7 linked regions of the Kluyveromyces lactis genome follow. The protein of the gene in region 5 interacts with the protein of the main gene of each other region in a pairwise test. Links are inferred from orthologs where the notes say so. Each region holds a gene or a part of one and is shown on either strand. Other genes may lie near its edges. The genes, in order: DRS1, BRX1, ERB1, NOP12, NOC2, RRP5 and RLP7.

The links.
Region 1: the proteins of NOC2 (region 5) and DRS1 interact in binary tests that used the Saccharomyces cerevisiae proteins (3 or more experiments, as listed by UniProt). The link is inferred for Kluyveromyces lactis from reciprocal best matches to the Saccharomyces cerevisiae genes NOC2 and DRS1.
Region 2: the proteins of NOC2 (region 5) and BRX1 interact in binary tests that used the Saccharomyces cerevisiae proteins (3 or more experiments, as listed by UniProt). The link is inferred for Kluyveromyces lactis from reciprocal best matches to the Saccharomyces cerevisiae genes NOC2 and BRX1.
Region 3: the proteins of NOC2 (region 5) and ERB1 interact in binary tests that used the Saccharomyces cerevisiae proteins (3 or more experiments, as listed by UniProt). The link is inferred for Kluyveromyces lactis from reciprocal best matches to the Saccharomyces cerevisiae genes NOC2 and ERB1.
Region 4: the proteins of NOC2 (region 5) and NOP12 interact in binary tests that used the Saccharomyces cerevisiae proteins (3 or more experiments, as listed by UniProt). The link is inferred for Kluyveromyces lactis from reciprocal best matches to the Saccharomyces cerevisiae genes NOC2 and NOP12.
Region 6: the proteins of NOC2 (region 5) and RRP5 interact in binary tests that used the Saccharomyces cerevisiae proteins (3 or more experiments, as listed by UniProt). The link is inferred for Kluyveromyces lactis from reciprocal best matches to the Saccharomyces cerevisiae genes NOC2 and RRP5.
Region 7: the proteins of NOC2 (region 5) and RLP7 interact in binary tests that used the Saccharomyces cerevisiae proteins (3 or more experiments, as listed by UniProt). The link is inferred for Kluyveromyces lactis from reciprocal best matches to the Saccharomyces cerevisiae genes NOC2 and RLP7.

The regions. Positions count from the first base shown.
Region 1 is NC_006042.1:1,453,292-1,457,481, forward strand, and holds DRS1 (putative ATP-dependent RNA helicase), read left to right. Parts: upstream 1-1,443; coding exon 1,444-3,690; downstream 3,691-4,190. Other genes in the region: CYR1 (adenylate cyclase), read left to right, coding at 1-160; SYS1 (Sys1p), read right to left, coding at 291-884; LMO1 (Lmo1p), read right to left, coding at 3,796-4,190. UniProt on the Saccharomyces cerevisiae protein: ATP-binding RNA helicase involved in ribosome assembly.
Region 2 is NC_006041.1:1,577,239-1,580,130, forward strand, and holds BRX1 (ribosome biogenesis protein BRX1), read left to right. Parts: upstream 1-1,495; coding exon 1,496-2,392; downstream 2,393-2,892. Other genes in the region: MDM20 (Mdm20p), read right to left, coding at 1-883. UniProt on the Saccharomyces cerevisiae protein: Required for biogenesis of the 60S ribosomal subunit.
Region 3 is NC_006042.1:2,460,413-2,464,675, reverse strand, and holds ERB1 (ribosome biogenesis protein ERB1), read right to left. Parts: upstream 2,801-4,263; coding exon 425-2,800; downstream 1-424. Other genes in the region: CSM3 (Csm3p), read left to right, coding at 1-298; KLLA0_F26587g (L-methionine (R)-S-oxide reductase), read right to left, coding at 4,004-4,263.
Region 4 is NC_006042.1:734,389-737,419, forward strand, and holds NOP12 (rRNA-processing protein NOP12), read right to left. Parts: upstream 1,890-3,031; coding exon 501-1,889; downstream 1-500. Other genes in the region: SYN8 (syntaxin), read right to left, coding at 1-147; Rpd3L histone deacetylase complex subunit DEP1, read left to right, coding at 2,666-3,031.
Region 5 is NC_006042.1:102,265-106,157, forward strand, and holds NOC2 (mRNA-binding ribosome synthesis protein NOC2), read right to left. Parts: upstream 2,640-3,893; coding exon 501-2,639; downstream 1-500. Other genes in the region: MEI5 (Mei5p), read right to left, coding at 1-235; GEP3 (Gep3p), read left to right, coding at 2,905-3,893. UniProt on the Saccharomyces cerevisiae protein: Involved in the intranuclear transport of ribosomal precursors.
Region 6 is NC_006038.1:728,454-732,649, forward strand, and holds the start of RRP5 (Rrp5p), read left to right. Parts: upstream 1-1,396; coding exon 1,397-4,196. Other genes in the region: YPK9 (putative acid anhydride hydrolase), read right to left, coding at 1-230.
Region 7 is NC_006040.1:418,075-420,891, forward strand, and holds RLP7 (Rlp7p), read left to right. Parts: upstream 1-1,360; coding exon 1,361-2,317; downstream 2,318-2,817. UniProt on the Saccharomyces cerevisiae protein: Involved in the biogenesis of the 60S ribosomal subunit. May act as a specificity factor that binds precursor rRNAs and tethers the enzymes that carry out the early 5' to 3' exonucleolytic reactions that generate the mature rRNAs.

The sequences.
Region 1 (4,190 bases), about 1.4 Mb from region 5:
CCAGGGTGGTTTAACCATATACAAATCTGGTGATGCAATGAAACAGAAATCAATCTTCCAATTGCTGGATGACCTTCTAGCCAGAAACCAATTATACATAGAAAACAGCCATAATGACGAGAGCGAGCAACAAAGCTTCAAATCTTTTCCGGAGGAGTAGAGGACTTGATTTCTTTATTGTTACGTCGAAAATGTCTCATGGTTTCGGACCCTTTGATTAATTGTCGTGATTTCATCAAGAATAATATAACACATTTCCATTACATAAGTATATAAACATGCAAAACTTTTTATTTTTGTGCTTCTAGATCTCTAAGTTCGATGCTTTTCCCTGGAACTTGAGAAGCTGGCTGGCTGGCACTGGCAGGTGCAGAATCGTCATCCACCATACCTTCGAAAAATGTGTCTTTCAACTCTCTCCACCTGGTAATCCAAGTCCCAAGGAAAATCAATATCAGTGTAGACAAAAATTGCAAGATAAACCATGCTAGTGAAGGGAATAGCCCTGTGTGTGTCCATACTACTACTAGATTTATAGCATGGATTGTAATGGCAAAATCCCACGCGAGTTTACTCCTTCCCACTATGATGGTCAAAAAAAAGACACAAATCAAGGAATCAATTAACCAAAGGGCTGATAAAGAAATACCAAAAGAGTTTGAGAAATCAATGTCCTGCCATGTAAACAACCATTGCTTTAGCTTTATTTCGTACCCACATATTTTCGCCCAGCAATAAAACAAAGTTGATGCAGTGAGATAATAGAACATTTGCAAGAGTATAATCTGAACGATTATTTTACCAGGGGACTGAGACTCTTGTTTGAAGATTTCAGTGGGTAATAGTTCTCTCGGAACACGCATGTATCGTCTAAGCGAAGCCATCTCCCTGATTGGTTGAAATGTCTCTAATCGGTCGCCTTTCTAAAACTGCACTTGGTACAGTTCAATTCTATCAAATATAACTGGTGCGAACAACCAAAAGAATTCACCGAATATTATAGGAGGAATGCAATAAGTAACGAAAGAGGACTAACTACTCAATTCTGTCTTTATTTTCAAGTCTCTCAAATCATGTCTCAATCACAACTCATCTTGGATTTAATATGTTGCTTAGAGATTCCGAACTAGTTTCCATGTTGACAACCAGTGGTTACCCTAACTTGACGATATGTTTTTCCTCAAAAGAAATTTTCCATGTTCAAGCTTTTCACATCTGGAATGGCGATGAGATGAGCTTGAGATGAGCTACGACAACTAGAATAACTTAGCAGTGAGTACTGTTCATTGTTCCTTATTATAACTTCTACAGGTGACATACTATTTATCTAGTGCTATTATTCTTCACTCATTTCTACTTTGCGAGAAAGAATAGAATTCTTGTTGTTCTTTGATTGAGTATTAAGGTAAGTGGAAAATAAAGAGATATACGGCATTCGTTAATATGGCTGTTAAGAAGTTTAGATCATTCGATGATTTTGTTCCTACAATTAGTGATAGCGAAGAAGATGTTCCAGATTTAGATGCTTCTGATGACGAAATGGAAAAGAAGCCAGTGAAGTCCTCAAAAACTAAGAACAAATCTAAAAAGAAGGCCAAGCAACAACAGGGATCTCACTTGGACGAAGATGTCCATGAAGATTTGAATCCAGAATTCCAATTCTCCATTGACAGCGGAGAAGTTACCACCAACTTTGCAGGCTGGGATTTCCAAGGTGATGAGAAGAGTGATGAAGTTGAGAAAAAAGATGTCGATCTAGATGGGATCATTAGAAGAAAAGGTGGTTTGATTATGATGGCTGCTACAGGCAGTGATGCCGAAGAAAGCCTATCAGAAGAGTCCGAAGAAGAACCAGAAGAAGGAGACGAACCTGGCGAGAGTGATGATGAAGATGAATTAGCTTTGGATGGGTTCGGTATGGGTGTCAAGAGAAAGGCAACAGAGGAAAATGAAGAAGATGAAGAGGATGAAGAAGAAGAGGATGACGACGAAGATGACGACAAAAAGACCGAAATGAGTCAGGCAGATTTAGGTAAGGGAAAAGACGAAGATGAAGACATTGAAGAAGACACTAAAGAAGAAATGGCTGAATTTTATGCTCCAGAAGAGGAAAGTGCGGATGCTAAAAAGATCGTTCATAAAACTTTCAACAGCTTGTCGTTATCCCGTCCTGTGTTGAAAGGGCTTGGAAGTTTAGGATACACCAGTCCTTCTCCAATTCAAAGTGCTGCTATTCCTATTGCCCTTCTTGGTAAAGATATCATTGCCGGTGCTGTTACAGGTTCTGGTAAAACAGCTGCTTTTATGATTCCTATCATCGAACGTTTGTTGTACAAACCTGCACATATTGCATCAACAAGGGTTGTTGTACTAACTCCAACCCGTGAATTGGCTATTCAAGTGGCTGATGTTGGTAAAAATATCGGTAAGTTTGTTAACGGACTAACGTTTGGTTTGGCCGTCGGTGGTTTGAATTTAAGACAACAAGAACAAGCATTGAAGACCAGACCTGATATCGTAATTGCCACACCAGGTAGATTTATCGATCATTTAAGAAATTCTGCGAGTTTCAGCGTTGATTCAGTTGAAATCTTGGTCATTGACGAAGCTGATAGAATGTTAGAAGAAGGTTTCCAAGAGGAACTACAAGAAATCATGTCTCTCATTCCAAGTAAGAGACAAACTCTGTTGTTTTCTGCTACAATGAACTCAAAAATTAAGCAATTAATCTCGCTATCTCTAAAGAAGCCTGTTAGGATTATGATTGATCCTCCAAAACAAGCAGCAGATAAATTGACACAGGAGTTCATCCGTATACGTAAAAGAGATCATCTCAAACCGGCATTATTATATCAATTGATTAGAAAGTTGGACAATACAAGCCAGAAGAGAATAGTAGTTTTTGTTGCTAGGAAAGAAACTGCCCATAAACTGAGAATCGTCCTTGGGTTATTGGGTATGCAAGTTGGTGAATTGCATGGTTCGTTAACCCAAGAACAACGTCTACAGTCTGTTAATAACTTCAAATCCTTACAAGTACCAGTCTTAATCTGTACCGATTTAGCTTCGAGAGGTTTAGATATTCCAAAAATTGAAGTGGTTATCAATTTCGATATGCCAAAAACTTACGAAATTTACTTACACAGAGTTGGTCGTACTGCCAGAGCGGGTAGAGAAGGTCGTTCAGTAACCTTTGTAGGCGAATCATCTCAAGATAGAAGTATTGTCAGAAGTGCGATCAGATCAGTGGAAGAAAACGCTGAAAGTGGAAAGGCCTTGAGTAGAAACGTTGACTGGACACAAGTCGAGCAAGTCAACAGCTTGATTGGAGCAAAGGGTGATGTTGTAGAGGAGATTATTGAAGAAGAAAAGCAAGAGAAAGAGATACTTAGAGCTGAAATGGAACTTCGCAAAGGTGAAAACATGCTAAAACACAAGGAAGAAATCAGTGCAAGGCCAAGAAGAACCTGGTTTCAATCAGAAGCTGAGAAGAAGAACTCTAAAATGCTTCAAGTTTTGGCAAAAAACAAAAAGCCAATCAACAGTAAGAAGAGAAAACAGCAAGAAGCATTGGCTGAGAATCCTCGGCTATATAAAAAGACACAAAAAGATCGTGTCGAATATCAGGAACGTCAATACAGCAAGAAGCAAGCTGCCTACGGAAAGAAGGGAAAGAAGGGTAAGAAATAAATTACTGTCCTATGTTCTTAGTTTTGGCTTAATTATCAATGCGCATGAAAATTCATTATATACTACATAAACGCAGTTGAGGTGTTATTACATAATCATCAACTCTCATTCGTAATATATACCCATCGAGAGTTGCTTTAGAGTTTCTGGATTGTAATAAAAGTCATCCGTTTCCTCCTCTGAGAAGGATTCCAGTGACTCATCATCTCTAAATTTATCATCAAGAGCAGCAAGTTGGACGTTCCTTCTTAATTTTATTAATGTATCGATTTGTTTCTCAGTTTCTGGTGATAATTTGGCGTGTTTACTTTGTGATAATAATTGTAAACCATCCAACCAGGTGTAGAAGCTCTCTGTACTCTCCAAGTAAAATGCAGATAAAATTTTCCCGTTTCTGTCAAAGGTGGTAACTTCTCTATAAATTGTGTTCTGAAGAATATTAATCAATCTAACACCTTCAGGAAGCTTTCTATCGAGTTCAATTTGCCTACTTTGAATGT
Region 2 (2,892 bases), on a different chromosome or scaffold from region 5:
CGACTCTTGCTAGTATGTAATTTCTCGTATTCTTGATTTCCAAAACTTCCAATAACTCATCGAATGACTTGCCAAGTTTGTAACTTGCATCTATAATCTTTTGCAAAATACCATAATCGTCAAGGTTATTCAATAACGAGATTCCATGTTTCCAAATGAGTTTATAATCGTCTAATTTCACCAAATGGCCCATAAGGAAGTTTTTCAAATAAAGGTCTAAGTAAGTACCATGTTTCCAAAACTTGAGGATCTCGTCCACGATCTCCTGTGATTTATCCTCAAACAATTCACAAACTTTACAGAAAACGATCAACTCTTGCTCATTCTCAAAAGGTTTCAAATCGCTTGTCAATTTATATGTCAACTTAGGTAAAAGATCCAATTCCCTTTCGTTAATGTTATCTTTATCCAACTGAAACCATACTACAGTAGCAATACTGTTCCAGAATTGGAACAATCTCGATTTCGATTTTTCATTGACTCGTGGCATCTGGAAACTACTCTTACTCAAATGTCTCCAATTTAAATCCCTCAATGACTCCAAGAACCAATCATAACATGTCTCCGAATTACCGTATTTCATCATTGCTCTTTCATAAGGTTCCAATGCACTGGTGGTGTCAAAACCTAATTCCAACAAAAATCGATGGCACATTGATAGCGATTTCGCATCGCTTGGAGGAGATTTGGCATCCAAGATCAACTTTAACCCATTTTCAAAACTATATTTCGCAGGAGATTGCCTGTACTTGACATATTGCTCTAACACTTTGTAATAAGTGGCGGATGGGTACCGTTTCTGCAATGATGCAACAAACTGTGAAGCTTTCTTAAACAGTTCCCTATCTAATAGCTGAAAAAGCTGATGATCTTCAGAGTTCATATCAACAGTTTCCACTCTTCGTGTTGGTCGATATCAAATCTAACAGATCAAACAGCAACGAACACCGTTACTGCCAGACATACCGGGTTGTTCTACGAACGACGTGCGTATGAGGTTGTTCATTAGAAGTTTGAATGCTGAATTAAGCCAATATCGTAATTTTTCAGTCTTGATTACCCGGATAATAAACTATAACTGTATGTGTATCCATAAATGTAAACGGCACAGCCTAACAAGGGCATCAGCGCTCTTACTGCTTGAAATATAAACGCAAGACCTCACCATACAATCCCCACCCGCGTTGAATCTGATAGAAGCCAGTTGGCAGACGATACGAACATTTTCTTTTCGAGAAACTATCCTTTTCTATTTTAAATCATCACTGATGAGCCTTAGTTTCTTTTTCGGTACATTGAAAATTTTTGAAAAGTTAGAAAAGGCGATGAGATGAGATGAGATGAGATGAGATGAGATGAGAAGAGGTATTGAACAAGGTTGTCCTGATCCTTCCAATCTATACATCGTCGGTCTAAACACTTTGAGATTATTGTATTACACTTGAGTAGTTGGAAGGAAGAAAAAGCCAAGAACTGCTAAGCAAATCCTTCTATAATGTCGAGTATTTTCAAGACTTTGTCTCGTAAGGATAAAGACGGTAAGAAGAACAAAAATAATGCGGCTAACAGTGACAGTAATGAGAAACAGTTCATGAATAAGCAACGTACCTTACTTATTACGTCCAGAGGTGTTACTTATAGACATCGTCATTTGGTTCAGGATTTGAACAGTCTTCTACCACATTCGAGAAAGGAACCTAAGTTGGACACGAAGAAGGATCTAGGACAATTGAATGAGATTGCGGAATTGTACAACTGTAATAACATTATATTCTTTGAAGCTAGAAAGCACCAGGATTTGTACCTATGGCTATCAAAGCCACCAAATGGACCAACAATCAAGTTTTATTTGCAGAACCTACATACCATGGACGAATTAAACTTCACTGGCAACTGTTTGAAGGGATCCAGACCAATATTGTCATTTGATGGTAGATTTGATTCTGAACCGCACTACCGTTTAATTAAAGAACTTTTTATCCATAACTTCGGTGTACCACCTCAAGCTAGAAAGTCCAAGCCATTCATTGACCATATCATGTCTTTCAGTATAGTTGACGAAAAGATCTGGGTAAGAACGTATGAGATCTCGCATGAAGCTAGGAACAACGTTGAATATGAGGATAAAGAAGAAGATGAAACGTCGTTAGTTGAAATTGGCCCACGTTTCGTGATGACACCGATTTTGATCCTTGAAGGTTCATTTGGTGGTCCAAAGATCTACGAAAACAGACAATACGTATCGCCAAACTTCGTTAGATCTCAAATTAAACAACAGGCTGCCAAGGAAGCTAAGACCAGAGCCGAAGCTGCTGTTGAAAGGAAACTAAAGAAGAGAGAAAGTGTCTTGGCTGTAGATCCATTATCCAACGATGCATTGTTCAAAGATTAAAGTACAATCCAGAACTCTAGAAAAAATCATGATTTATATATTGTCAACTTAGGAGAACGGCGTTCTTCCTGCTCAGACTTGTACATATGTATACTCCTATATATATGCTTTTGAATGGGCTGTTTTTGATAATATAATTTTTCGTTTTATTCCTAACTATACTATACGTTAAAGTCGTACATGAATATTTAATTTATTTAGTTAACTTGGGGGGCCAGAATACCAGTTAAACTTGAAGCGTCATGAAACGTCATGGGGAAAACGTTTTTACATTTGGTGTGAACCACAGTGTGCTGTTTGAAATGTTTTTTTTATCATTTGTTTGAATTTTAATAGATTTATTAATATTTTACTTGCCCAATGCCATTGCATTCTTCTATTCCCCAAATACGAAGATGTTATGCGTAGTAATAACAAATCATACTGTATAATTTTCAGGAAACGTGAATTGAACAGTCAAGTGGGTAGAATTAATAAGGAAGTAAAAATGTCCTGACTTT
Region 3 (4,263 bases), about 2.4 Mb from region 5:
TATCAGCCTAGACAAAGACAAAAATCAGAATAATGACGGCAACTATGACGATGATGATGATGATGATGATGATGATGATGTTCTATATTCTTCGCATCACCAGCGGCACACGAATGAAATGTTGTCCACCACTGATACAAACATACGGCAACATACACAAAATGGCTACGCTCTGCCTAACGCTGAAGAGTTAGACGAATTGAGTAAAATTACGACCGTTGCCAGCACAACAAATAACGGTAATGATATCGCATCAGATGAGGAAATGGCAATGATGAGAGACATGGATACCTTTTGAGCTCTGATCCAAAGATAATAATGTATTCCCTTGAACACTAATTAGAAAGTATCTACTTGTAATATTGATAGGTAATGATGTCCATAGTATACAGTGTTTTACAAATATCCCGTCATGAGGGTTCTATCAGGTAGTCCACAAACGAGCGGTTTTGTCGGCACCTGCAGAGAATAGCCAAGCTTCACGTGGATGCCATATAGTATCTAGAACACCTAAACTATTCACAATCTTGTGGCCGGTTAGTTTCTTCAACGGGACGATCATAGGGTTCTTCATTAAATCGTCATAGACCGTGGCATGGAAAACATGGATGTTACCATCATCCGCAGCTGAGCAAAACAGTGGTAGTTTCTTGTGGAAACTTACGCTTCTTACAGCCTTCTCATGGTATCTCAAGGTCTTATATGGAGTGCTTGCAAGGTCAAGATCATGCCACAACACTCTCTTGTCAAACGAGGATGCAATTAAGTTATCACCTCTTGGGTGAATATCAATAGTAGATAACCAACGAGCACCAGGTAGAAGTTTCTTGATTAGCACTTGTTGCGATAGGTCATAAATTCTGACGTATCTTTGAGAACAGACCAAGAGCTGTGGCTTGAATGGATGGAATTTTGCATCCATAATGATACCCTTAGATTTTTTGAATGGCGATTGAGTTAAATGCTTGGATAATTGATGAATCAAAACTGATGTATTACCTGAGTCTGGTTGAACAGTGACAAAGTAATCACCTTTTCTATGCCATGAAAGCTTTTTCACTGATTTACGACAAGTTATTACGATACAAATATCATTGGCAGCTTGCCTTTCGGTTGGTTTATTCCATTGAGCAACCTGTTTCTTGACAGCATGTGATTCAGCACCGTCATCCTCATCATCGCTATTCACATTGAGATTACTCTTTTTGACGTTTCCGAAAGTATCGAAACCAAAACCGTATTCAATCTTTGATTTACCTGTGTTTTCAATTTCAAAGCCGAAAATTGGTGGAACAAGCAAGAAGATGTTTTCGCCAGCAGTAACCGCAAGGATACCGGTAGTACTGTCGGGATTCCATTCAACAACGTCTATGTGGTCATCATTGTTTTCTTCCGCATTAAGTATTGTGACTTGGTAAACTTCTCTACCTGTAAGAATTTCCCATACTCTGACAGTGCCATCATCGGAACCAGTAGCCAACCATAATCCAGTTGGATCAATGGACATTGTACGAATTTTTCCTTTATGACCGACATAAACGGTAGAGCAACGGATTGGAAATGGTCTCAAATCTTTTGTAGAGGGCAATTCTGGGATCAAAGATTCAGGATCAATGTTCAACTTATTTTTGCGAACACGAGGCGCTAAATACAAATCTAATGATCTTTCAAACCTTTCTCTGACAGATTCAGAGTAACCTGGAACTTTTCTTAATGCAGCGAATTTGTGAGGCACAAAATTTCTCTCTCTTTCACTTGGTTCCATCTTTTCCCATGCATCAATTTCCTCTGGGGTCAAAAGATACTCTTCCGGAGGGTTGTAAGACTCCTCATTTGTTGGTGGTGGCAATTTTGGGGCTCTCAAGTTCATAACATGTTCAGAGATTTCTTCGGCATCTCCCCAGAGATCGTAGTTATGACTGTCTTGTTCTTCTTTTTCTCTTAATTCCTTTAGTTTCTTTGGTGGGATAATTCTACCTTCTCTGATTGCTTTGACTATTTTCATCACACGCTTGGCTTCGTGCTTTGACGGAACGAAACGTCTTTTCGGTTCTGGGACGGCCGTAACTGGCATTACAGATTCGTGTCTAGTGAACCAGTCGATTAAAGGTTCGTATGGATTCACAGATTCGTCCGTCTGTTGATTATTTTGCAACTTATTGATTAATTCAAGTTCTTCTTCGGTCAAATTCAAAGAGGCACCGCTGTCTTTGTCTAGTAAACCTGTCCAACCCTCTGGCAATTCTATAGATTCCAATAATTGATCTAAAGCAGATCCTTTGGCTGGTCTCATTATTCTCTTACCATTAATGTCATAACCAATATGTGGCATTTCATCATATGCAGATAGTGGGATGTTACCAATTGTGTTCTTAGCTTCTGCATCACTATCATCACTATCATAAACAGGATTAATTTCTGACTTAAGAATTCTTGGTCTTCCATCTGAATACTTGGTACGAACAATGCCTTCATCGCTTGTTTCTGGAATCACTGTTAACTTTACATTTGACAATTTGTCGGTAATGGAAAAAGCATCGCCTTCTTCAGAAAAATCTGAAGTATTATACTCCTCCTCCTGTCCATTTTCTTCTTCAGCTAATAAGCGATTGAATTCAGCATCAGAGTCGTCATCTTCAGCTTCCTCAGCTTCATTTTCGCTAGCCTCTTCATCGATTAAACCATCAACTTCAATTCTTTCATCTTCAGAATCGGACAATTCAGATTCCTCGAGAACTCTCTTTTTTACAACAAGCTCCGCTGATTCAGAACCATTCAAAGAAGAATTCTTTCTGGCCATAGTTTCTGGTATTGTTTTCTGGCTCTCTATACTTTCAGAGCTTCTTCTGATGCCGTTAACTTTGAGAAGTACTGGTTATCTCTGTGGTCTATTCACTTCAGCTCATCTCATCTCATCTCTCAAGATGAAAATTGAAAATTTTAAGAAACAAAAAGAAAGAAAATTACGATACATTAATTACTTCTACAAAGTTTTGAACAAGAATGCTATTTTGAAAAAGTCAAAGTACCCTTCAGCAAAGATAGGGAACTGGTATTCAATCAACTCCACATATACTTCTACTTACGTTGAAGATATTTACTTTGGTCGCTAGCCTACAATGAATGTAATTCTTAACTCTTATTTTTTTTGCATCATAGACAGTTATCTTAGTTTTATTCTAGTAGATGCAACATCGTTTTCAAGTTTGTAATTTCATCATTGAAGAAGCTATTTCCAGTAAACTTCATTATTCCAATTTGGGGCGCTGATAAGAGAGACCTATTTCGTTTCTTCAGAAACTCTTAACGATGTAACATATACTCATGTAGTTCTCTCAGATCTTGTTGTGATATGCCTTGGATGATAGTTGATTGATTAATCGCCTGATGAGGGATCGTTGATATCAAACAATATAACGAATATAATATAATAATCTATTTAGTTAGATCGTTGAGTATATGCGTCCAACCTCCCCAAGAGGTCGCAACATAGCTCAGCCTTTTATACTCGACTTATATACTCGGATGGTCGTCAGACTTCGTCATGGCAACTCATTGCCTCCATGCCCTTGTAGGTCCTCTGCAGCTACCGTCCTCCACGCGCACTCAAGACCATCACGTGACCGTCTATGATCCATCTAGGCCATCCCTTCTGGATACCACAGGATCCATATGCCCAGTCACTGACGTCTTGGAACTCTGCCGTGTGCTGGCTAGCTCACATGACCTCTCGTCTGGCTTGTCTTCAGTCTATATTACGACAGACCTCACAAGATGGTTTCGTGGTCTAGTCGGTTATGGCATCTGCTTAACACGCAGAACGTCCCCAGTTCGATCCTGGGCGAAATCATTTTTTTCATTGAAAACTAGAAAACTTCTGTTCCACTGGACCTGGGGCAGCATGCCCTATGTTAGGTATGCAATAACAGGCAACTTCATATACGGTCAAGAGTTGTGATATCAATTGAGAGAATATAATTAACGAGTGTAACTACTTAATGAGTTAGAATACGCATGTCTTTGAAACTGAAGCGGCCAATTTTTCTAGAAATTCTTGGTCAAGCTTAGTAAACCCGTTGTAGTCCAAACAGTCAATATCGATAACACCTACTGTTTCGCCATTTTGGACTATAGGAACCACAATTTCACTCTTTGTCTCCCCATCACATGCTATATGCCCTGGGAAGTTTTCAACATCTGGTACTAATTGAGTTTGTTGACTAGACGCAGCAGTACCACACACTCCTTTACCAAATTGAATCA
Region 4 (3,031 bases), about 630 kb from region 5:
CAAATCAAGTGTATGGTTTATATGTTTCTTAAGTTTTATGTTATCATTTTTAGATGGTTGCATGTGAAGGACATCCATTAACCTGTCTCTCTCATCCACAATCTCTATTAATTTATCGATTTCATATTCGACCTTCAAACCATTCATTTTTTTATATCTATCGTCCCTCTTTCTCTGTAGATAATACGCCTAACATTAAGCTTCGCATAGGTGTTGGCTGCGTTAGGTTACGAAATGCCACTTATTTTTAACACGAGCTGTCTCTTATGCCAACGAATCACATTTAAGGTTCTCCGGTATATAGCATAAAATATCGAATAGTCAAAGAATTAATAGGACAAAAGAGATTACCCGGAACAATAATTGACAGTAATTCCCCAGTTGAAGCACCAAGACCAATTGCAAGCCAAATCGGAGATACAACAAGTGTCTGTCTTATTGAAAAGTTGGATTATTTATCCATATGTACACTATACTATAATTGTTAAGGTTGTGCTCCATTATTGAGCATTTTGTTTCTTAAAAGCTATCGAACGCTTAGTAACTCTTCCTGTCTTTGATCTGTTCTTTGTTCTTTTTAGTACAGGGGTGGTTTCTCCCTTTGAAGCTCTTAAACCCTCAATTGTCAACTCTTCACCTAGCTTAGCCCTATCAGCCTTACCTAACACCTTCTTAGCTCTTCCCAGTTTTGTCCTTTGTTGGTCGTTTAATTTATTATTTTGTAGGGAAGATTGGTTTCCTTGGGCCTTTCTCATATTCTTGCATCTAGAAATTCTTAGCTTTCTGGCCTTCTTACCTTCATGGATCTTCTTTTCATGTAGTAGTAACGCTTTACTCACTGATTGGAAGTCCTTAAATTGAACGTATGCGAAACCTTTACCCATGTTCGTCTTTGAATCACGAATAATACGAACATATTCAATGTCACCACAAGGTTCAAAGTGCTTCCAGAGACTTTCTTCCACTTCTTCAAAATCCAAATTACCCACGAAGACTGATCTTCTCTTATCATGTGGGGAGGGGTGTGTAACCGAATCCACTCTCAAATGATGGTCGTTGAACACTTTACCGTTCAGATATTGGCACATAATCTTGACCGGATTGGAGCTCCCATATACGGCATATGCGTTGATCGAATCTCTAGATTTGTGAAGCTTTTGATGAACAAATGCAACTTTTCTTGGCAATGCTTCTTCGAATGCAATGGATCTGAATCTGATACTTTCCACATTAAACTTAACATCTTTTGTCTTACTTTCTTCTTCTTCTTCGTCTTCTTCTCCGTCATCGTGGTCATCATTCTCGCTACGGGGATCCTTGGAGAGAAGTTTCTTAAATTCTTTGTAAACTTTCTTTGATGTGATAACCTCATTTGGTACATTCCCAATAAAAATTGTTCTCTCAGCCTTGGCTAGTTCCTTTTCTTTCAAATTGATAACTTTAGCAGATTCAGATTCCGTGCCGGTAATCGAAGACTTATCGACTGCAGTTGCTTCATCTTCATTATCACTATCGGAAGAGTCGTCCTTAGGTTCATCCTTAGGTTCATCTTTAGATTTAGAATCACCTAATACCTTAGAATAATATTGAACTTCCAAATTATCATTCTCTTCATCATTCTTCTTGGTCTTCTTCTTTTTCTTCTTCGGCTGTTCTTCCTGTTCTTCCTGTTCTTTCTCTACTCCTTCGGAGACAGTAGAAGCACTTTCCTGGACATTCTCTTCTTCTTGTTCATCCTTATCCTGTTCAGGCTCAGTTAGCACAGTCCTAGCTTTCGACTTTACTTTACGCTCATCGACATGATTAGGTTTGGAGAATAACGCTGCAATCGATGATGTACCTGCCGCGTCTGATTTGGAATTTCCAAATAAATTGTTCAATGCGGACATCCCGTAATATAATTTTGGTTTGTTATGTTTGAAAGACCCTGGTTCACCAACACAAACGTTATTCCTCTGCACTAAACCTGCTGGTGGCTGTCCAAGTCTCTTCGATGCGATGAGCTTTATCCATTTGTCTGTTGAATTATCGAAAGTGAAAAACCTGCACTTCCTAGAAAAGCCAGCAGAAATCATGAATTTACCACCAAAAAGAAATGCGGAAGAAAAGCGTACGCTCTATGGACAAATCGAATGTATCGTAGTCACGTGATTAACACCGTGGAATGTACTATATGGCCGGGTAACATCATGTTCCTTTTCCTTAAAAAACGTACAAACTGTAAATAGTGCTGAAATGCCGAAATATAAGTTAAGAATAAAAATACAGTCTGATTTTAGCATGAACATATAGTTATGGCCAGTCAGCAATCAATACATAGATCTCATCCAAACGTGATTTAAAATATTGTGTACTACTAAGAATAGAGAGAGATAACTGTTTTGCTAGTAAAAATAAGAATTACGCGAAGTAAGGTATATTTGCAGCCCTTTGTTTTAGTGTGTCAGGTATCAACTTTCAATCTATTCAAGCAGCAATTCTTAACTTATACTGCGCATATTAAACGGTTTGCTGGTTAAATTTTGTGTGTTTCTGCATTGGAGTATAAGCTAAGTGTTTTTTCTTTGCCATCAGCCGATTGGAGTAATACAAAGGTTGTATTGGTTATATGCGTTGGGATTTCTTTCTTTTTGAATTCAAACGGTACTATCTTTGAATCATTCAAATGGAGCCAGAGAGAAACAAAAATAACAGTGTAGAGGCTGCGAGTGAGATTGACGATCATAATACCAGATCTGCCCCCACTACGAAACTTACCAAAGAAGTTTTAGAGAAGATTGCTTCGGATTCTGATTCTGTTAATTTTAACGCAAATAGTTATTCAAGGAAATCGAAATCAGGGAGTCCCTCAAAGGTTGGTACATTAGAATACGACGATAACAGTACCAGTGGATTATCTAAGGTCACTTCTCCAGAACATCCAAACTCAGTCTCTCTATCGGACATATACATCTCATCAGACGCTGAGACCGAAAAGATGGATTTAGAAGAGGACGAATCACGTGTCAAACTATCGGAAATGGCATCCAAT
Region 5 (3,893 bases):
AAGTTTGCATTATTTTCACTGCCCTTTTCAAAGCAAACTCTTTCTTCGTAAGATCTCGTATTTGTCGATCAAGATCGTTCTCTAACCTCCGGATCTCCTTTAAAAGTAACACACTACCCGTAGATCTTTCTTCAGGGTTTCTGCAAGATAACTTGGGCAAGATATCACTAAATGAATCATTCTCTTGAACTAAGGTTGTTTCACTATCACCTTCAAAATTCATGACATTCGACATAACGCCTGTAATGAGTACTGGTATAAGAATTATTCCACTTGGTCAAGTTATGCCTACCGCAGATTGTACTCCCGAGCTTTGTATTCTGAATGTAATGTTGAGTATACATGTTTAAAATAATTTACATAATGTAATTTCTATTTTCATGAAATTTACCGCCGATGTCTTTGACAAGGAGGCAATCCAATATAAGATGGTCGAAGACATAGGATTACCAATGAATTTAAAATTGAAGAAAGTTTGAACTTATCATACAATCATTTGATTATTCATCTGCTTCAGATTCAGCATCATCCATTACTATGTCTTGGGCTCCGTCAGAAATATTTTCTTCTTCTTCATCATCGTCAGATTCCAAGGATTCTCTTAAGAGTCTGGCCTTTTCTTCCTTAACCTCATTTTGGATAGCAACCCAGGAACCAAGAGGAGTATCTTTCCACGATATTTCATTTAAGAATTTTTCTACTTCTGTTCTGTTGTTTGGTCCGAAGTCTACATCTGATCTCTTCTTTGTAATGAATTGAGCGTTTTGGTTGATTTTATCTACCACGTTTTGCAACATCTTGTTAAACTTTACATTCTCAGAATTCTTGATATAACGACGTAATGAGATAACGGCAAGCGTTGTTAATTCTGGGAATGAAACGCTTCTGGAGTATAGAACAAAGTACTCACCTAGCAAATCTACAAATTGCTCAGCTAGCCCGTCTTGGTATATTTTTGTCCCCAAGTATGCTTGTGTACACTTGATGTTATGATCAAAGTCAAATGCAGGTAACGTTGACTTTCTAGGTTTCTTTGTGAATGCAGTAGAGGAGAGAATCTCAGATAATAATGGGTAAACTGGAATGAAGATACCAGTGTTTTGAGATAATCTGATCAAGGATCTGATCAAATAAAATCTCAATGGGAAAAATTGTGCTGTTGGAATCAATCTAATGACACCAATGGTAACTTGGACTAGTGGGTAAATCAATTGTCTAAGAGGGGATTCGTGGCCGTTTTCCTTTTCTGGGTTACATTGGATGGATATAACACGAGACCAGAAGTCCAAAGAGTGACAGAACTGCCAGTTATATACAATCTTGTAAGCACTTGATGGGTCCACCTTTGAGGACCTCTTAGTTGTGGCATTGATACTGTTTCTCAAGTGAATGGCTAGTTGTCTGATATATTCGAAACCCGATTGATAACTTATAACGTCATCAATACCGAAAAGTTCAGCAGCAGAGTTCTTTTGGAAATTGATTAGAGGCATGTTTCTGATGTTAGTTTTACGACAACTTTTAATGAAAGTAGAATACGTGGACTTCAATACAACTTCTAATAAAGCTTTCTTATATTCACGAGAGGCATTGTTCAAAAACGCGAATGTGGCAATTTGAGTTTCAACGTCTCCAGTAGTGGACCAAACTTCGACGACTTGAGAAATTAATTCTTTTAGTAATCTTCTAAATGAAATAAAGTATGGTAATAGCTCATAGGTAGAATGCAAAATCATTGAAGCGACGTCTGTGTTTGTGATGTCACTTAGGAGAACGATAAGAGATGGAACGTGCGATTTCAAAACAGAGGACAATTTTGTAACATTTTTATTTGATGGGAGAGTTCTGGTTTCATTCTTACTGACCCTATAAGGTGTCAATTTTTGGACGGCTTTTGGCATATCCACAAGGGCAACGAACATTAACTCGTGGAAGGCTTTTTCATCAAGAACTGTGAACTTGTAATCGTCTACATTTTCCTCGTTGTTCATGTTCACAGCAGCTTTAAAAGCTGAAACCACACTTCTGATAGTTTTGAAAGATGGGCTATTTTTTAAATCCTTCTTCCATTTATTTACGAGCTTTATGTCGACGGCAATTTTGCTATCTTTTTCCTCCTTCTTGGACTTTGATAAATCAGGTTCTTTCAGTTCTTCTTCTTCACCCACTTGCCCTTCTTCGTCATCTGATATTTCATCTAGAGGATTGGTAGATTTGAAAGACAAAAGATCTGGTTCGTTCTCTGCCAAATATTTGTAGAAATCAGGATCCTTCTTTGCCAAATCTTCCATATCCATTTTAACATCTTCATCTTCTTCGGCAGAAGACTCTGAATCATTATCTTTCACCTTTGATGCTTTTTCGGTTTCTTTAGCCATTTTCTTTGACATTTTTGGAATATCGAACCCATTGTCGAAGAACTCTTCAACCTTCATGTCGTTGAAGACTTCTTCCTTAGCGGACTTCTTCAACTTTTGATCTTCTTTGGTCAACGCAGCTGCATTCTTTTCTTCTTCTGTCTTATTACCCCTACGACCGGCGGTTCTCTTAGAATGATCTTTTAACTTCTTTCTATGGTCCAACGTATGCTTCAAGTGTTTCGTCTGAAACTTTTTAGTAGCTTTTGAAACTTTACCCATTGTGTAATTCTTGATCCCTTTATCAATAGGTAACAGGTCCCAAGATTATGCCTTTGATCAACAATATGATTTCAAGAAGATTATCTAGAGCGACTACTGGTTAAGTTGTTAGAGCTGCGTTAAAGTTTCTCTATATCTCTTCTTGGGGCATCTCATCTCATCTCATCTCATCTCATCTCATCGGATTGAATTTTGGTTTGGATATTTGGAAAACTTTTCATGGCGTTTCTTTTTGTATCCGGGTAATGGCATCGCCTTGACATCGATGAATAGTGCAAGTAATATGGTAATTGACATGCTTGGAAAGGTATCGACAAAAGATGCAACAAACTGCAAACAGAATGTCGAGAGATGCAACAGTTTTGAGCCGTTATTGATAAGAGTACTGAGGTATATGCATCAGAAAATAGTAGTAGTATTACCTTTTATGAAATCACGGCTCCAAGCTTTTAAGCAGTTTACTCGGTTTGTATCATGCAAAAGCTGTGGTGTTGAGTTGCAATCCAAGAATCCTTCTGTGACAGGCTACTATAAGCCTCCTCGCGCTGTCAGGAAAGATGCTGGCACCATTGAAGATTTGAAGTATTTAATGTTCACACAAGAACTTCAGCTAAAAAAACATGAAATCGGGCTACTTGATCCAGACACCGATCCAGATTATAAAGAACCTATTCCCAAAAGATTGGTTTGTAAAAGATGTGTCGATGCTATAAGTCATAACAGGTACAACTCATCTGATTTTCCAATTCATTCTTTCAACGATATAAAGGGCGCTTTGCCGCATGCTGCAAACGTATACCACGTTGTGTCTTTGTCTGACTTTCCCTTGTCATTAGACAAAACTATCCTGGCAGAAAAGAATAATAGAAACTATTTACTACTTTCAAAGGCTGATCAGATCACATACAAGTCATCAATGCTACCACATAAAGGGAGTGCTTTTTTTGCGGAATTTTGTAGACGTCATATAGGCGTACATGTTAAGAAAGTAGTATTGTTCTCTAACCCAAGAAATTGGAATATTCCATCAGTGATAAATGCTTTGGCTAAAAGATGCTATTTATTGGGTAATCCTAACGTTGGGAAAACGTCTCTCATTAATTCTTTGCTCCATGAAAAATCAACAAGTTTCCAAGCTCAACTTGATAAGAGAGGCAACGTTATTGGTCCTCCAAAAGGCCACGAACAAATACAAAGTACTCGCCGTAGGGCCATCTTCAATGAAGGTGGAGTATCACATATTCCCAACTTTAC
Region 6 (4,196 bases), on a different chromosome or scaffold from region 5:
GCACCATAACCACTAGATTGGAATGAATGTGGATGATAGAAAGATACGATAGAACTTGGTACAGTCTCTACAGCAGCACCAGAATATGGTTCTGTGTTGTTTTGTTCCAAGATTGCTGATGAAGTAGTTGTATTAGCGCTGGATCCCGTCCTTGTCGAAGAAAAGGACGGTCTTGCTGATTTATTCGCACTATGGGGTATTCCTGTAAATCTGCTGTCGAATGATGACATTGAGTCCCTCTTCAAAGGTGCGTTGGTCGACCTTATCTATTGATAGAATCCACTCCATATTACTTTTTAAAGGTTTCTGATATATATGAGAATGTAGGTTGATAAATTGAAGATAATTGATTTAATGAAATTTCATACCAAGACACATAATACATAAGGAAGGATAGGAGAAAAGGCAGGCCAATGATACCTCACGTTACAATGTGGAACTTTACTGTGTTGATAAAACTCTCGTAGTTCGATAGATATATAGACTGCCCCTGAAAATGGATCGAAAGGAGCCAGAAACAGCTTTAGACTGTAATATGATGGTGCTTTTATGCCTTATAATAAATATTTCCGGCTGTGAAAGTACCTTTAGAAATGAAATTGAACAAAAAAGAGAAAAAACATATAGTCTGATCTGAAACTATTACCATAGAAGGCATTCCACTCGTAATTGCACAAATTTTTCTTAGCATGACCAACAAAACTCTTATCACTCCCCTAGAACCTTTTAGTTACATGGTTTCCACCATTACAGATATGTAATTATTATACCTCTTTAAGAAGATAGAATAACTGGCTAACAAAAGCCCTTAATAGTTAAGAAGTATGTCATGCATTCAAAAGACCCTAATCCGTGGATACGGTTCAAACAAACTCCAGTGATAACAACGGAAGATCTGTACAACGTTCCATTATTAAACTGTCACTGCATCAAAGGCGCGATTACATTTCGTCTATGTCGTTTTGATTTCTTTTTTTTAATATTGAAAATTTTCAAAAATCGATGCGATGAGATGAGATGAGATGAGATGAGCTTTAGCTACTTAAGTGCTGGATCATTTGTATTGGTATGCTAACACATTTCTGAGCTTTGTTGATTCTAGAAACCAAGTGCAACTTTCTTAATTCTGGTAAAGATAAGTCTGGTTTACTTTCTCAAACAGGAAACAGTTTGGTATAACATATTTTGTATCTTTCTCTGAATTCTTTTTGCTTTGTGCTTTCTATTGGCTTTATTGGTTTCTATCTTCACAGAAGACAAAAACAACAACAACTTGGGAACAGGAGCTTCAATAGTTTGCAAGACACTTCAAGAAAAACATAGGTTTACATCTAAATTGCTAGGTGTAATTTGTTTTGAAAACAGGCATATCTAAATACCGAAAAAGATCACAAACATGGTTGCTCCACAAAGTAAAAGAAAGAGAGACGATGAGTCTCCTTTAGTAAGACAGGATGCTACCGAAGCACCAGCCAAATCTGCATTGAGTAAATCCGAGGAAATCTCATTTCCAAGAGGTGGTTCTTCTGCTTTATCCCCATTGGAAGTTAAGCAGGTTGGTAACGAAGTGGTTGCTGATGTTTTATTTGGCAAGGATGAATCAGCTACTGGTGCAGAGGGCCCAACGAAGAAGAAAAAGAAGAATGCTAAGAATAATTTTGATCAAATTACCACAGGTGATGATGAAGAAAAAGAGGACAAGACTGATTTAATTGAGCATTTTGGAATGAAACAAATGACCAAAGGGACCATTGTCTTGGGTCAAATCCAATCGATCAGCAAACATGAACTGAAAATATCTTTGGTGGACGGTTTGCATGGTTACGTCTCATTAACAGATATCTCTGAACAAATGACCAAGATTTTGGAAAATTTGGACGAATCCATGGAAAGCGATGATGAAAAAAATGAGGACTCAGAATACGATTCTTCAGATGATGAAAGCGACATAACAACTCCTAAAGAATTACCTGATCTCAATAAATATTTCAAAATAGGCCAATGGTTGAGGTGCATGGTACAAAATAACAGCGCTTTAGAATCAAACAAGAACAAAAAGTTAGACTTATCCATCGAACCCTCTGTAGTAAACGTGTTTGAAGATGATGATTTAGCTAAAAACTGTCCACTACAGTGTTCGTTGAAAAGTATAGAAGATCACGGTGCCATTCTTGATATCGGTATTGAGAACTTAACAGGTTTTATCTCAAAGAAGGATATACCTGAATTCAGTTCTTTGTTACCAGGTATGGTGTTCTTAGCTACAGTGACGAAAAGATCTGGTAGAACTGTAAATGTCAACTTGGATTTGGCCAGTAAAAACACCAAGGTCGAAAAGATCTCTTCCATAGATGCCATCGTGCCGGGTCAATCGATTGACTTTTTACCTCAAACTATCACAAATCACGGTGTTATCGGTAAAGCCTTCGGTCTAATAACTGCATTTTTGCCATTGCCACATTCCAATTTCTTTACGGTAGAGGATTTGAAGCATCACTACTCCATTGGTGACTTAGTCAATGCTAGAATTTTGGCAACCACTATAGTGAAAAGCGGCGATAAAGTTGCTGTCGTTTCCACACAACCTCATATCATCTCATTGCATCCAAAATTACAGGAGACCGAAGCGTTAGAATCTTTCCCCGTTGGCTATATCTTCGATTCTTGCACAGTTAAAGGCAGGGATAGTCAATTTTTCTACGTATCAATCAACAATGAACAGGTGGGACAAATTCATTTGTCAAAGGCAGGAGAAACTGAACCAACGGGAACTGTGAAAGCAAGAATACTCGGCTATAACAATGTAGATAAACTTTACACATTGACGTCTGATCCAGCCTTACTTGATGTCAAATACCTAAGATCGTCCGATATTCCAGCAGGCGAAGTTTTGAGCGCTTGTGAGATTGTCACAGTGTCAGGAAAAGGTATTGAATTAAAAATTTTCAATGATCAATTTAAGGCATTTGTTCCTCCCTTACACATATCTGATACCAGACTTGTGTATCCTGAAAGAAAATTCAAAATTGGTTCAAAGGTTAAAGGTAGAGTTCTCAATGTCGATTCTGTGGGCCGTGTCACTGTGACATTGAAAAAGTCTATTGTAAATGCAGACGAAGAATCTGTGACGTTAGTCTGCAAAAATGATGATATTCAGACTGTTGAAAGTCAAGAATTGAAAACAATTGGTACTGTTGAAATATTCAAGCCTAATGGTTGTGTTATCTCGTTCTTTAATAATATCAAAGCTTTCGTTCCAAACAAAGAAATTTCAGAAGCATTTGTAAAGAAACCACAAGAACACTTAAGACTAGGACAAAGTGTTTTGGTTAAAATTTTGAATCATGACTTCGAAAGAAACAGAATTATTGCTTCTTGTAAAATTTCAGCAGAGTCTTCTTCCAAGCAAAAGAGTGCTATTGAATCTTTAGTTGTCGGTAAATCTATCATCGATGCAATTGTTATTGAAAAGACTAAAGATTCCGTCATCGTAGAATCTAAAGATTCAGGGTTGCGCGGTGTTATTTACACCGGCCATTTGTCAGATGATAGAATTGAACAAAACAGAGCTTCGCAGAAAAAGTTAAAGATTAACTCTGAAGTTAGAGGTTTGGTTTTGGACAAGGACATCAGGACTCATGTGTTCAACATGTCCTGTAAAAAATCATTGATTAAAGATGCTGAAGACGGTACCCTTCCTTTAAGTTTTTCCGACATCAAAAATAAAGACAAAACAGAACCGATGCATGGTTACGTTAAATCTGTTTCTGACCGTGGTGTTTTTGTTGCATTCAATGGTAAATTTGTCGGTTTGGTTTTACCAAGTTATGCAGCAGAAACCAGAGATATTGATATTCATAAGAAATACTACATCAATCAATCCGTGACCGTGTATTTATTGAGAACAGATGAGGAACATGAAAGATTTTTATTGACTATTTTAAAACAAAAGACCGATGTTAAGAAGATCAATTCATCTGTAATTAACCCAGTCGACAAGTCTATCAAAGATTTGTCGGACTTCACTATCGGTAAGGTTACAAAGGCTACAATTACATCAGTTAAGAAGAACCAGCTTAACGTTACGTTGGCTGATAATGTACATGGTCGTATCAGTATTTCTGAAGTTTTCGACAGTTTCGAAGATATCAAAGAACAAAAGGCACCATTAAGTGTGTACAAGAAAAATGATTCAC
Region 7 (2,817 bases), on a different chromosome or scaffold from region 5:
AGAAAAAAAAAAGGAATTTCGAAGCTCAAAGCATTCAAAGAGTCAGATTACAATTAAGAATCAAGAAAGTCGACTTTTGGGTTCAGCGCGGGTCCTGCAATGTTCATTCTGATAACCACTACTCGATTTTCATGCCGGTTTTTTTATCGTACTTGTCGTTTTGATAGAAAAGAAAAACATAAGACACTCGAAGTGATTTTTATTCCTTCGAGCGTGGACTTAGTCAGCCCGTAGTGGAAGTACATTTCCTACTGTTCACGCTGTAGCTCAACAAACGGCACAGTGTATTTACTATCTTCCTAGAATCACGTGAGCGAAGGGAAAAATATAACTTAAGAGTAGCATAATTCCAGTGCTGTCAGCGGTATCGCTCAGTGATTTGGAATTTAAATCGAGGAAAACGTCCTACAATTTAGGGACAGGCATGCGTTCACGGTTAAATCGTTCGAAATTTTTTCCGTCGTTCGAGCCGCCCCACTGGGATCTCTGTTGTAAGAAAAGACCGCCGATTTATGATAAAGGGCGGACTTTGCTCTGAGGTTCCTTCTCTGCCTTTTCAGCATTCTTCCTCTCGAGGGACCTTTTCCCATTTCTTTTTTTTCTTACTTGTTCTGTGTTGAGAACTTGAACCACAGTTGATCTCACGGTTGTTTCGAAACAGAGAGCGGCATAGATGGTACAAAGAATGGAGCCACGGCTGGTTTCGAAGGAAACACTGCTGTGGGCACACATTTCGAGACTCCTAAAGCCACCTCGAAAGCCAGTGTCAAAAGCCAAGATATAACGATTTCATGAGCTGATACGGAAAACTTTACTGCCGGTTAGAAGTGCTAGTTCCTGCAGCAGGTAGATAGGGGAAACTGCTTGAAAATTCGTCTCTGTATATACGATTCACATATAGACAGTCACAATTTGACTATTTGACTATTTAACTTGCTTCCCATTCTTTGGGTAACTTTCCGAAATGTTCCCATTTAATTCTGAAGAATCTTGCTGGGGTACACCATGCTGCAGCAACAGATCATCCCAGGTAAACGCCAACTTGCCAGTACCCTATTCGAGGTCAGCTTGTAATTGTAATTGTAATTGATCATCTACTTGTCTGAGTGTCAAACAGAAGATCTTGGTTTCACAGTTCACGTGACTGGAAGTGTTTCTTTTCGTTACAGAAAATTTTTTTGGCGAGGAAAAAAAAGTTCAGTGCGATGAGATGCGATGAGATGAAATTAAAGATTATGAATAAAGCTTTCAATGAGAGATGACCTTGGCTAATCTGAAGTATTAGGAGCATATAAGTTGTATTATATAGAGCTGGTTTGTGCTGAGATTAATAAACAGGGCAGTAATATAGAAGCAACAAATGTCACAACCATTGAACTCGAACCCAGAGGTTCTTTTAAGAAAGAGAAGAAATGCTGATCGTACTAGGTTGGAGAAGCAGGAGCTTGCCAAGAAGAGAAAGGAGCAAGAAGAGAAACAGAAACGTAGTAAGAAGAACAGATTTGTTAGAGCTGAGACGATAGTCGCCACAACTTTGGCTACTGAGAGAGAAAAGACCAGAATCAGAAGAGTCAGAGACTTAGAAAACCAAAAGGTCAAGAACGATTTGTCACATATCCCATCCGATAGGGATTTTATCTTGCGTATCTCTGAAAGAGAAGCCGGTAGTAAGGCTACATCCGAATCTGAGCTTCAAGATGTTGATGAGGAAGATGAAGAGGACGATGGGTTAATCAGGGAAAAAATCGTATACGATGGTGAGCCAAGCTTATTATTTGTTATAAGAGTGAAAGGACCCACAGCTGTGAAGATCCCAGCAAAGGCTTACAAAGTGTTATCTCTTTTGAGACTTGTTGAGTTGAACACTGGTGTTTTCATCAAACTTACCAAGGACGTGTACCCATTGTTGAAACTTGTATCACCATATATTGTTATCGGACAACCTTCACTTGCATCTATCCGTTCTTTAATCCAAAAGAGATCTAGAATAATGTGGCAAAGGCCAGAAGATAAAGAACCAAAAGAGATAATCTTGAATGACAACAATATCGTTGAAGAGAAATTAGGTGATGAAGGTGTCATTTGTATCGAGGATATCATCCATGAGATTTCGACGTTGGGCGAAAATTTCTCGAAATGTACTTTCTTCCTATTACCATTCAAATTGAACAGAGAAGTCAGTGGATTCGGTGCCATCTCCCGTTTGAATAAACTGAAAATGCGCGAACAAAACAAGAAGACTCGTCAAATTTCAAACGCTGCCACGGCTCCAGTTATCCAAGTAGATATCGACTCAATGATTTCCAAGTTGAATTGATTAACTATAAAAGGAAAATATCTGTACAATAGACATCGGGCTCCCATTGGCCCTACCCACATATGTAGAAATACATTACTCTATTCACTACTGCATTTAGTTATGTTTAACATTTGATATAGCAGACGCTACCGCCAGGCACAATATATTCCCCTTCCCTCTTGCCATTCGCTGTACTTGTGGTGGATTCCAATTCAGCGCAGTCACGTGCTAGTAATCACCGCATTTTTTTCTTTTCCTTTCAGGCTAAAACCGGTTCCGGGCCTGATCCCTGCACTCATTTTCTAACGGAAAACCTTCAGAAGCATAACTACCCATTCCAGTTTAGAGTCATGACAGGTTCAACATCAGATGCTTCATATACTTTTATATATTGAATTATATAAATATATCTATGTACTCTAAGTAAGTACATCTGCTTTAACGCATTCCTACATTTGCTTCGATTTATTTTTATTGTTGATACCTATTTGAAGAAGTAAAAAGTATCCCACACTACA